3 linked regions of the Rattus norvegicus genome follow. The protein of the gene in region 3 binds, or shares a complex with, the protein of the main gene of each other region. Links are inferred from orthologs where the notes say so. Each region holds a gene or a part of one and is shown on either strand. Other genes may lie near its edges.

Region 1 (3,646 bases), on a different chromosome or scaffold from region 3:
CCTGGTCAGGCAGCATGCATCAGTTGAGCTGTTCTAATAAGCATAAAGCTGAAAACTGAGTCCTGTTTCCAGGCCCATGGAAGTCCCTGGACAAGTGGGGATGAAACACAATGTTACGTGTGAGTTTAGAGCACTGACTGTTGGCTTCCCTTTCCTTCCAGAGGAGGATAATTTGAGCGAGTCCTCTTCCGAGAGCTTTCTTTGGAGTGATGAGGAATACGGTCAAGATGTTGATGTGACCACCAACCCAGATGAGGAGCTTGAAGGCGACGACCGCTATGACTTTGAGGTGGTCCGATGCATCTGTGGAGTGCAGGAGGAAAATGACTTTATGATTCAGGCAAGTAGAGTTTCCAGAACACAGGTTAGAGGAAGACATGAGTGAGTCATGTGAGCAGTTCGCACAGCATTAGACTGAGCTTGCTTTTGGGTTCAGATTTCTGGGAATTCTAGGTTGCTGAAAATAACCCATTATAGAATGAGAAGTCATTGAGGCCAAAGGGAAAGCCTTGCCTGTGGTCTCACAGAGAGGAGTTGGACAACAGGGACTCAGACTGTAGAGTGGTAATTCAGTCTTCTTTATGGGCTCATCTTCTCTTTGAGATAAATTTCCCTGGTGTCCTGAGGGAAGAAATGGAGTCAGGTTTTATAATTTGTCTTCCTCTGTTATTTGGTGTGTGTGTATGTATGTGTGTGTGTATGTATGTGTGTGTATGTGAGCATGCATGTGTGCTGGCAGCAGGTGTTCCCAATGAAGGGATTTGGCAGCCTACCTACCATACATCTCTGCATAGGCTATATGTATTAGGAAGAGCAGGCTTTTTTGGCTTTTTGCTTTCCTTGTTTTATATGCATGATAACAAAATTTGAAGTTGACTTAAATTTGAAGTTGCATTTATGTCTTTTGTCCTTTTTTTTTTTTTTTAAGGGCAGAGTCTCTGTCTTAGTTACTTTTCTGTTGCTATGATAAAATATCCTCACAAAAGCAACTTAAGGGAGAAGTTACTGTAGCCCACAGTTCTAGATGGACATAGAATGGTGTGGTGGCAGGGGCATGAAGCCAGCTCCTCCTGTCTCAGTGTCGAGAAGAAGAGTGGAACTAATTCATACCTGCATGCCACACTTAGCTTACTTCTTTACTCTGGCAAGGTTTAGCATCCCCTGCCCAGGAATGGTACCACCTATAATGGGGGTCTCCCTCTCACGCTATCCAAAACAATCCTGAATAAACAGACTCATAAACTAACCTGATCTAGACAATCCCTAAATGAGAGACTCTTCACCGTGATTCTAGATTCAAGCTAATGAAACTAACCAGTCTCACTTGGCCCCATTTCTTCTCAAACATGCTGTATTTTCTGTTTTGTCTCCTAAATGCTGAGGTTACAGGCACAGGCTACCATGCTGTCTCTGCTTCCTGGGTGTAGATCTGTGTGGCTTCTTCTAGAACTTCAGACGCTTTGTTCTTTAAGCACCTTATGCATGCTTATTTTGGTGTGGAGTGAGGGCTGTGACTTCAGTTTACTGGCAGTGTGCTCACATTTTGAAATGTTGCTTGATTTACTGCCTTTCTCTGTACATTCGGGTCTCTTTCTGGATCCTCTCTTTTTCAGTGAAGCAGAGGCGGAAGAACACAACAATGCTGTGTGATTATTTTATGCCTTTGTAATAGTCTAATTCCCTGGCAGGGCTGGCCCCCTCCCTCTCATCTTTCCTCTCTGCATATATTTTCTGTCTACTAATTTTAGAGTCCTGCTTAGTTTCAGAGCTACCAACTTCCTTATTTTTGGGGGCCACAATGTTTTATAAGCCCAAGTAAAGTTAGTGTCTTCAAGGTAGTGATCCTTTCTGCTTCCTGACCCTGGCAGGTCTCCCAGGACCAGGAAAGAGGGGGTTGAGCGCAGGCTTTGCAGGAACTCTTGCACTTGGCTAAGTTCACGCTGTCTCATGTGCCATTAATCACCTGTGCAACCTTCAGCAAGTTTTAAGAATAAATGCAGAGAACTAGGGCGTGATTGCTCTAGGAGGCCAGAGGGACTTAGCTACCATCTGTTAATAATAGAAACTCAGTGTGAGGCTTTGTGCTGAGTTCATAGTGGGAGGATGTGCATATGACCCATGGATTCCTAACAGACAGCCTGTGGTGTGGGCAGGAACAGTATCGCATCTCCACTTGGGGAAACTGAGGCCTAGGGCTGAGACCTGGAACTGTGCCATGTAACACATAATGTATTCTAAGAGTTTGAACAGGTTTCATTAAGCCCCACAAAGTGATCATGAGGCTGAGCGGCAGGAATGGCAGCAATCAGTCTGAAGTCAGTACTATTCAACTGATTACATTTTTGCTCCATGTTTTGTTTTTGAGACAGGTTCTGAAGTATTCCAGGCTGGCTCTGGTCTCATTGTGTAACTGAGTCTGGCTGAGCCTATCCTCATGCCTCTGCCTTTCAGGTTCTGGGATCATAGACATATTCCACCACACTTGACCATCTAGATTCTCTTTATTGTGCTCTATTCTGTTCCAGAGACAATAGTCATACGGACACTTCTGAAATGGCTCTTGGGACTGAAGAACTAAGGACTCTTAACTTAATTTGTTCGTTATGCGTCACCCTCCATGTGATCAGTGGTGGCCTAGTTGGGTCATTGTGTAGCCATAGCTTTGTTGAGTAGAGGTCAGAAGGGAGCGCTCCCCCCATTTCCTTTCACCCACACTCCAGGTCAGTGGGCTCTACTTTCTAAGTTCTGTTGCTTCTTTAATTCTCACAGTGTGAAGAATGCCAGTGCTGGCAGCACGGGGTCTGCATGGGATTACTGGAAGAAAATGTGCCCGAGAAATACACCTGCTACGTTTGCCAAGACCCTCCAGGTAGAGCTTTCTGGAGCTGGGTTGGGAGCAGTATGTAACCTCTTCCTTAGCACAGCAACTTTCCACACACCGTGCTTGTACTCTCGGAGAATCTTCGCTAATGACCAGGTGACTCTGCTCACCTTTGTTGCAAGCCCACGTGGTGGCCTGTCCTTCTGAACGTAGCAGTAAGGGATATGTGTGAAGATGCTTACCTAGCAGAAGGCCTGGTCTTGGAATGTAGTGGGAAACACATATGGTGTTGTTAACGAGAAGCACAAAGCTTGTAGGTCTGATCAAAACTGTCCACAGTGTTGAATGCTCCACGAATTCTCCTGTCATTCTTGCTCAGGGCCTTGCCAATCTTTTGTTCCAGTTTCAGTAGTGAGAGAGTTTCTTCCTTGAGAGCTGAGGATGAGTGTGTGGCTCTGTTGGTGGCATTGCAGGGATGTCCGAGGGCACGTGTTTGCCATTGCACTCACGAGTGACTCGAGTGAATGCATCGGGTTGGAGGGTGCTGTCTCCTGAGCCTTTGGAGCAGGAAGTGCTGCCGAGTCCCTGAGCTCATGCTTCCTGTCCTTTCCAAGGAGGCTTGTGATGGGCAGGGCCCAGGAATCACCCAGGTCATCTGTTATTTGACAGATGGGAAGCAGGGTCCAGCGAAGGGAGGGCCTGTCACCTGACTAGCTGGGGCAGGCAGTACTGTTGGAAGGGGCTTGGAGCCTTATACTTGCTCTGTGTCCCTTTGACACATGATGTCAGGCTCTGGGACCACAGCCATCAGTAAGATGGTTCATT
Region 2 (4,398 bases), on a different chromosome or scaffold from region 3:
GGCCTGGGTTACTCTTCTTCATTTGAGCATGAAGTGCTAGGGCATTCCTTCGAGCATGTTCAGCACAGAAAGACACCCTAAGGAGACAAAGCATTAATATTTAATAGGCCCTCTCTTGAAAGAACCAGCAATATTCAGTCACCAGTTGATTTTTTTCTTTAGGAAATATGACTTATAGTCACACCTTGAAGAGCAGTATGAAACCCAGGCATGGTGACTCACGCCTTTAATCCCAGCACTTTAGAGGCAGAGGTGGATCTGTGAGTTCAAGGTCAGCCTGGTATACACAGTTCCAGGACAGCCAGGGTTAAATAGACCCTGTTGTGGGGTTGTGGGTCAGGCAGCAATGTGAATCAAAAATATAACTGCCCTCAAGTAAGCCATTTGGGGTCCTTGGTGAGGTGTGGTGGGGGCGTGGCGTGGCGTGGCGTGGCGTGGCGTGGCATGTGTGCTGTTCAGTCAGGCCCAGAGCTCCAGGCAGGGAAAGCTCTAACTCATGCTGCCTCCCTGGCTCATAGTAGCTGCTCTCAAAGGGAGCGACAAGTAGCTTACCCACTGTTCTAGTTATCAAATCCATTCCAGCTATAAAAATGTTAGCAGTATCTCAGAAAATCAGAGCTGCTTGTATTTTTTTCAAAATAAATTCTGCAAACACATATTAATATCAATCCACTATAGACAGACAATTCTAAAGCAAGAAGATCTATAAAAAATTATCTAGTAAAGTCCTATGTTTGCACAGGTAAGTACATATGATAAAAAACTATGAAGCTCCTTCCAAAACACACATACATATAGTGAGTGTGCCTTTTACTTAACAAGGTTTGGCAAGTGAGTCAGCACTCCAACATGAAGTGCCATCAGTTCAGTGACTCAGCAAACAAAAGCACCTACCACCAAGGCCGGACCACCCAAGTTCCATCACCACCCCACACAGCAGGAAAACCAACTCCAGAGGGTTGTCCTCTGACCACACATGTTTGGCAGCACGTGAATCCACGGAATAAATGTTTAAGGAAGAATTTAGATCTGAGTATGGGAATAATCTGAGAACTCCAGAAGCTGAGGCAGGAGAATTAGGGGTTCAAAATTACTCTGACCACAGTGAGAACTCAAATGTTAATTTTACAAGTAAGCAATTAACTAAATGCCCCTTCCTCAGCAGTGCCTCAAGTGTCCTTCAAGTTCTCATCATTGGCGGAGTTGGGTAGGAGGGTTAAGACAGGGTTTTGTTTAGCCCTGTCTATTCTGGAATTCAACCCTGTAGCCTAGGTTTGCCTGAACTCCTAGATCACCCCAAGTCAGCCTCCCAAGCACTAGGATTAAAGGCCTGCACCACCACCGCCTAGCATCAGTTCTGATCATTTTCGTATTTTGACATGCCTCCCAAAGAATGTATCCTTTAATTCCAATTTTACAAACACATGACCTAAAACTTCACAGATATGACCAACATAAAATAACTACACATGTTCCTCTTTTCACTTTAAAACTGAAGGCAGGGGACAGGCATGGTGACGCACCAACATTCTGTAACTCCATCCAGTTCCTGGAGATCCACCGCCCTCTCCTCCTCAAGCATGAACATGGTACAAACATACAAGCAGGCAAAACACCCATACACGGAAAAAAAATTTAAAAACCGTAAAAGGTTGCCAAAACTGTTCCAAGCCAGTCTTGTCCGCATGAGGAGAAGTTCCGGGAATATAGACTGTCTCAAAAGGGAGGTGGGGGCGTCCATGACTCTGCGAGCCGAGCCTAACGTCCTCCTATTCACCATACCAAGAGGCATTAGAACCGACTCCAACAAATCGGCCACTGACCTCCCCACGTGTCCCTGCACACACAAATCAAACTACAAACCGGAGATAAATGCTTCAAACTATAGTAAAAATAGGCTCGGTGATGCAACCTGTGCTTTACGTGAACCAGACCCAGGGTTCAATCCTCAGCATTGAAAATTAAGGAACGACTCTCAGAGCCCCAAGGCACAACATACCCACGCGCTCTACACATACCCATCTTTCTTCTCAGGCTTTGGGGCAGCACTGGGGCACCTCTTCCCATTCTTCGTCGAAATGTAACTACATTGTTTGAAGGGTGCATTCTTGTCTTCAAGAATATGCTTAAGACAAAACTCCTGCCCCTCCAGACGCGGCTGAGAGCATGGGCGGTGAGTGAACGAACAAGAGAGGGGCTCCTGAGATCTGGGCACTGGGGTGATCCTCCCCCGATTCGTTGGCAAGACGTGAATCCGAATCCTGTTCATACCAAAACCTGCGGGTAGGTGGTCACGGGAAAGATCAAAATGGCCTTAACCTTGCCAGAAGTCCTTGTCTACGTGCTCCCGCAGGTCGGCGGGCCGCAGGACGAGGGTTGCACCGTAACTCCCGCCGCCCTCCAACCTTCCGTTACTAACCCACCCACCCCCGCCTTCTCCCTACCCGCCTACCCGCCCGCCCGCCCGCTCGCTTCTCTGGTCCCTACCACGTTGGCCGAGTCTCCACAGTAGCCGACCGGAAGCGCGGCGCCTGTCCCACGCGGCACAACTGCAACGGCGCGCCCCGCCCCCACGCCCCGGCACGCCGCCTTTGTCCCTGGCCGCCTCAGAGCTCACAGCCCCGGCCCAAGCGCCTACGCCGTCGTCCTGCGAGCGCCATCTTGTCCTACGGCTCCCGGCACCAGAGAACCTGGCTCCCGAAAGCCCAACAATCAGAATGACTCTGACGCTGCAGGAGACGACGTACCGCGCTGAGTTGATAGAAAGGGCGAGCAGCAGCCTAACGGCAAAGGAGAAGAGCCCGGCACGGCGCCATCTTACCTCCCCGCCGCGCTGCGCCGCGCAGCTCGCCCTCTGGCTGCTCCGCCTGCACGGAACTCGGCCCTGCGGCTCCTAAGCGCTGATTGGTCGTTGTATTAAGGCTGCTGTACCTTTATTGGTCAGAATCAACACTAGACCCGAGGAGGGCGGGACAGTGAGACTCCGCAACGCGATTGGCTGATGTGAAGTGTCTGTCAGAAACTCGGCCCGTGAGTGGGCGGTGGGAAAGGCGGGCCACAGCTCCTCGCTGGGTTCAGATATTTTTTTCCATCTCTGTACCGTTGGTTTTCTGGTGGCGGTGGTCTCCAGTCTTCCCAAGCAGCTACCTCTTTACCATCCCTACACAGCAGAAAACTGAACGGTGACTGACCGTGTTTTCTGTTTACACATGAAAAGGTTTTGTTAGTTTTCTATTGTGAACAGTTCAGCTCATTTTTTTGGTCCTTTCATGTAAACACTCCAACTCTTCTTTTTCCTGTCTCGAGACTCATATGTACTAATTAATTTTTGCAGAGCAGCCCTAAAAGGTAGACGCTATTTTTCTCTTAGGTAGACATTATTTACGGATATAGTGACGGAAAATCAAATTTGAGAGTAGGACATGCTTCTCTCAAATCCTCTAACTCCCCTGCTGGATAGTGTATTATAGAAACAGCAGGCTATTCCGTTTTCGTGATTTTTTTTTTAAGGTTTATTTATTTAATGTATGTGAGTGAGTACACTGTCACTGTCTTCAGACACACCACACCAGAAGAGGGCATTGGACCCCATTACAGAGCGTTGTGAGCCACCACGTGGTTGCTGGGAATTGAATTCAAGATCTCTAGAAGAGCAGTCAGCACTCCCGACCACTTGAGCCATCTCTCCAACCCTCCTTTTAATGTTTTCAAAGTACTGTACCCCTGAAGTTTGAAGTAGTTGTGCATAGAGGGTCTTTTCCTTTGTGTAATTTGTAAGATCTACCTTATGTAGCATTCACAACTTTTCCACATTATCAAAAAGTGTAACTTTTCTTCAAAATACATGCCAGACATGGTAGTCCATGCCAGTTATGTTTCTCAGAACTCAAGATCTTGATGTAGCAAGAGGATGCAGTTTGAGGCCAGATGGCTACACAGTGAAACTGTCTTGAATAAAAACATACTGTGTACCAAAGGTTCAGCTGTGTCTTGATGCTTGCTTGCCAAGTGAATGGCTTAGCCTACTATATAGCTAAGCTATTTTTAACTCTTCAGGCACTCCTGCAACAGTACAGCATGAATGTTTCCCCTGCCTACAAGCTACTTTACCCACCAGGTTCACTGTTGAATCTCAGGTCTTTCTAGCAGATTCAACATCCATAGCGTATTGTGTGATAGGAACCTAATACTATTACACAAAGGCAGAGTGGGAACGATTTAACAAACAGTTAAAGACTGGTTTAAGGACATGGAACATGCAAAACGACAATCAAGTATTTTATCATTAACGTTTATTGATGGGATGGATAAATACAGATTGAGAAACATCCTTGACAGCAAGATATCAAACTGATAGCCAGACTATAAAATGTATACAATATCCTTCTTTAAATTTTT
Region 3 (3,646 bases):
CACCTCCTCACCTGTTCATCTAGCCCCAGCTCCGGTGTGGAGCATCGGGTGTCTTCACTGGCCAAGTGTCGCAGACTGTCCCGAGCCACAGGGGTGAGGGGGGCTGAGTGCAGTTCTGGGCTAATGGGACTCCTAGGAGATTGACCATGGGAGAACTCAGACAGAGAGTGGCTACTACTGACATCAGGGGAGGCAGGCTGTGGCGTGGAGGGGTTGGCACTGCCCAACTGAGGGGTGGTCCGGCCGTCTGATGACCTGTAAGACCTATGAGCCAAGAAATACACAAGTAAGTAAGGACATGGTCAAAGGCACTTAGCTTCTTTCTGGGGGCAGGGGCAGTAAGAAGAGTTATTTTTAAAAAAGCATCTAAACCAAAGCAGTTAATACGAGCTGACAGCAATGGTACTCTTTTAAGATCCATCGACTATACTTGCTTCTCCCTTTTACCCACATAGGAAGGTCTAGAACATGACATCTAAGAGCCACGAGCAACTATCAGCTCTGCCTAGTGAATTTACAATAGGGACTAGTTCTGGTTTTGAAAACAAGTCAAAGAAAAATAGGTGGTCCCCTACCACTCTTTAAGGAAATGGTCCATGAGACTTGCAGGGCAAGCACTTCTAACCCAGTGAGCCATCTAAAGTTAAGATTGCAAGACCAGTCCCCATCAAGAAAATCAACTTTTGAGTCCTTCTAAACTCCTCTGGCTAAATCACCATGACAACCAGTAGGAGGCCTTTAATCTTTCCGTGTCTACCATCCTCCTGCTCTCAATAAAGACTGGGAACCCATGCCTGCCCATTCATTACCTGCTGCCCCGACGCTGGGGTGGCACACTTGTGGTCCACAGCCACCGTGCCCTTTCCATCTCCTCACATTTGGCATGCAGGGCGGCAAAGGCTGCATCAGATAGGTCCTCAATCTACAACAAAGCAGTTTTGTCAATCTCTTTCCCCAGGAAGCTGAGGTTATAAATCAGCAGAATAATTCTAGAATCAGTCTCGTTCCATTGGAGATGCTGTCAGTCAAACAGAATAGGACAAGCTTGCATTTGATACGCCTAAAGGCACTGAGTATATGGACACAGGGTTGGGGTGGGTGTACATGCTCCTCCAAGACAGTATAAACATAGTATTACCTCCTCATTCTCTTCATCAGGACTCCCCTTCAGAGACTGAAGATCAACCTCTCGCCAGCTGCAAACAGGAAGAAAAAAAAAAATTACAGGATTGTAGGCAGGCTACCCCCACATGCAAATACCCACAAAGGCCAGAAACAGAAACCCAGAAGCAGCAAACTGTTAGAGGTGAGGCTGATAAGACTGTCAAACTCAATTTTTTTTTTTTTTTTTTTGGTTCTTTTTTTCGGAGCTAGGGACCGAACCCAGGGCCTTGCGCTTCCTAGGCAAGCGCTCTGCCACTGAGCCAAATCCCCAGTCCCCAAACTCAATTTCAAACAAACAGTATTTAATATTAGTTGATAATATCATACAGAATATAATCTTTGGAACCTTGCTATAGAGGTTTATAAATGAAATAAACATTTTCAGAAATCTGGTTTGATGCTGAGACAACATATTTAGTATTTAAAACACACAGTGTGAGCGGCCTGCCAGGTCTGACTTTTGGGTTGGTGGAGTCACACAATGGAATAAAAGAAGCCAACAGAAATAACTTTACTCCCATCAGGTACCCCTCCTCTACCCGCTATTTGCTCCTCCTGCTTTTTTTGAAACAGTCGTTCTCGTGTTCTCTCTCTCTCTCTCCCTCCCTCCCTCCCTCCCTCTCTCTCTCTCTCTCTCCCTCCCTCCCTCCCTCCCTCTCTCTCTCTCTGTAGCCCAAGTGGGGAGCAAACTCCATGGCCATCATCCTCAGTATCCCAACTGCTGAGAGTCTAAGTGTACACCATCCATGCAAGAAACGTCCAATGAAAACAACAATCCCTCCCAACCACTCCCCAAAACAAAAACACCCAAGTCTCATTCTGTAATGTAGGCTGGCCTTGAACTGCTGCAGCCTCCTAATGTCTGGAATTACAGATGTGAGGTACCAACCATGCCTTTTGACACCCCCCCCCCCCACTTTATTGTTTTTGGAAACAAAGTCTAGATCTATAGCCCACAGTGCACTCTGGGGAATCAGATGGACCATCATTCCTGGCCCCAGGCCCTTCTTTAAAAAAAAAAACAAAAACAAAAACAAAAACAATTTAAGGATAGGGACCTGCTTGGCCTGAGAGAAAGGAAATATAGAACAAAACAGGAAGAGAGGAAGAGGAGCTGATTAAATAATGCTTCTTTATACCTTGGAGTAAGGATTTCTTTGTATTGTAGTTTCTCAACACGAGTTGTTGCAGCAACAGACATTGGGATGACGATGTTGTTAATATCAAATGAGCTCTCTCCCCTTCTTCTCCTCACTGGCTGCTGTAAGACAAAAGTTTAAGTTTCAAGGGAGGTACAATGCTACAAATTTAAAAGCAGTCATATGACAGAATGACCATGCACACAGGTCCTTGGGTAGCAGTGGGAGCCCCAGGGAGTAAATCCCATTCACATGGCACTCTTCCTGATTATTCTCCTTTATTTTTATAGGTAGGTATCCTAAATTTTAAGCCACTTTAAATAGGTGGGAGTTCCTATTACTTCATTCTCCTAACATTCCTTTTTTTGTCGTTTGTATTTGAGACAGGGTTTCTCTACAAAGCCCTAGTTGTCTGGAGCTCACTCTAGAGACCAGGCTCACCTCTAACAGAGGAGCGCCTGCCTCTGCCCGGCTTTAACATTCCATCTTAACATCGAAAATCCTTGTTCCAGAGCCGGAGAGATGGCTCTGTGGTTAAGAGCTGCTCTTGGAACAATGGTGACTAGTTAGATTAAAAGCACTGAATTCTTTTACCAGAAAAGAGGTTCAAAGAGTAAGGCTGGCCTTAACAAACTATCTTACCTTAGCTGCCATGAAAACACCTTCCTCTTGAGGATCTCAACTCCTCAGCTAAGTCTGTACCACCACCTTCTCATCCCTTACACAATTCTCATCTTTCTATTATTTGGGGAAAGAGAAGAGTGGAAGGAAACTGAAAAGAAGAACCTGTCTATAGCTTCCACCCCCACCCCAAAAGGACATGTCTCCAGAGTAAGTAAGAATATTAAATCTTTGGGAAATAATGGTTTCAAGAGTCCAGCAGAGTTGGGCATCTATGATAGATAGGACACCAAGAATGAATAAAGCCAGGCACAGTGCTGTACATCTTTAATGCCAGCACTTGGGGGGGAGGGGGTCTAGACAGATCTTTGTGAGTTCAAGGTTAGCCTGGTTTAGACAGAAAGTTCTAGGACAGCTAGATCTACATAGAAAGACCCTGTCTTAAAAACAAAATAGAATGGGGCTGGAGAGATGGCTCAGTGGTTAAGAGCACCGACTGCTCTTCCAGAGGTCCTGAGTTCAAATCCCAGCAACCACATGGTGGCTCACAACCATCTGTAATGGGATCTGTTGCCTTCTTCTGGTGTGTCTGAAAACAGCTACAGCGTATTTATATATAATACATAAAATAAATCTTAAAAAAAAAACAAAATAAAACAAACAAACAAACAAAAAAAACAACCAAAAACATAAAGCAGAGAGCCAAATGATTGAGTCTCCTA

Evidence for each region.
Region 1: Kansl1 (region 3) and Phf20 share a complex: the UniProt entries of both Homo sapiens proteins name them as parts of the NSL complex. The link is inferred for Rattus norvegicus from reciprocal best matches to the Homo sapiens genes KANSL1 and PHF20.
Region 2: Kansl1 (region 3) and Kansl2 share a complex: the UniProt entries of both Homo sapiens proteins name them as parts of the NSL complex. The link is inferred for Rattus norvegicus from reciprocal best matches to the Homo sapiens genes KANSL1 and KANSL2.

Annotation. Positions count from the first base shown.
Region 1 is NC_086021.1:165,260,762-165,264,407, forward strand, and holds part of Phf20 (PHD finger protein 20), read left to right. Parts: intron 1-161; coding exon 162-340; intron 341-2,769; coding exon 2,770-2,869; intron 2,870-3,646. UniProt on the Homo sapiens protein: Methyllysine-binding protein, component of the MOF histone acetyltransferase protein complex.
Region 2 is NC_086025.1:131,561,901-131,566,298, forward strand, and holds the start of Kansl2 (KAT8 regulatory NSL complex subunit 2), read right to left. Parts: upstream 2,854-4,398; 5' UTR 2,488-2,853; intron 2,278-2,487; 5' UTR 2,270-2,277; coding exon 2,019-2,269; intron 78-2,018; coding exon 1-77. UniProt on the Homo sapiens protein: Non-catalytic component of the NSL histone acetyltransferase complex, a multiprotein complex that mediates histone H4 acetylation at 'Lys-5'- and 'Lys-8' (H4K5ac and H4K8ac) at transcription start sites and promotes transcription initiation.
Region 3 is NC_086028.1:89,739,613-89,743,258, forward strand, and holds part of Kansl1 (KAT8 regulatory NSL complex subunit 1), read right to left. Parts: intron 2,426-3,646; coding exon 2,304-2,425; intron 1,197-2,303; coding exon 1,139-1,196; intron 923-1,138; coding exon 810-922; intron 265-809; coding exon 12-264; intron 1-11. UniProt on the Homo sapiens protein: Non-catalytic component of the NSL histone acetyltransferase complex, a multiprotein complex that mediates histone H4 acetylation at 'Lys-5'- and 'Lys-8' (H4K5ac and H4K8ac) at transcription start sites and promotes transcription initiation.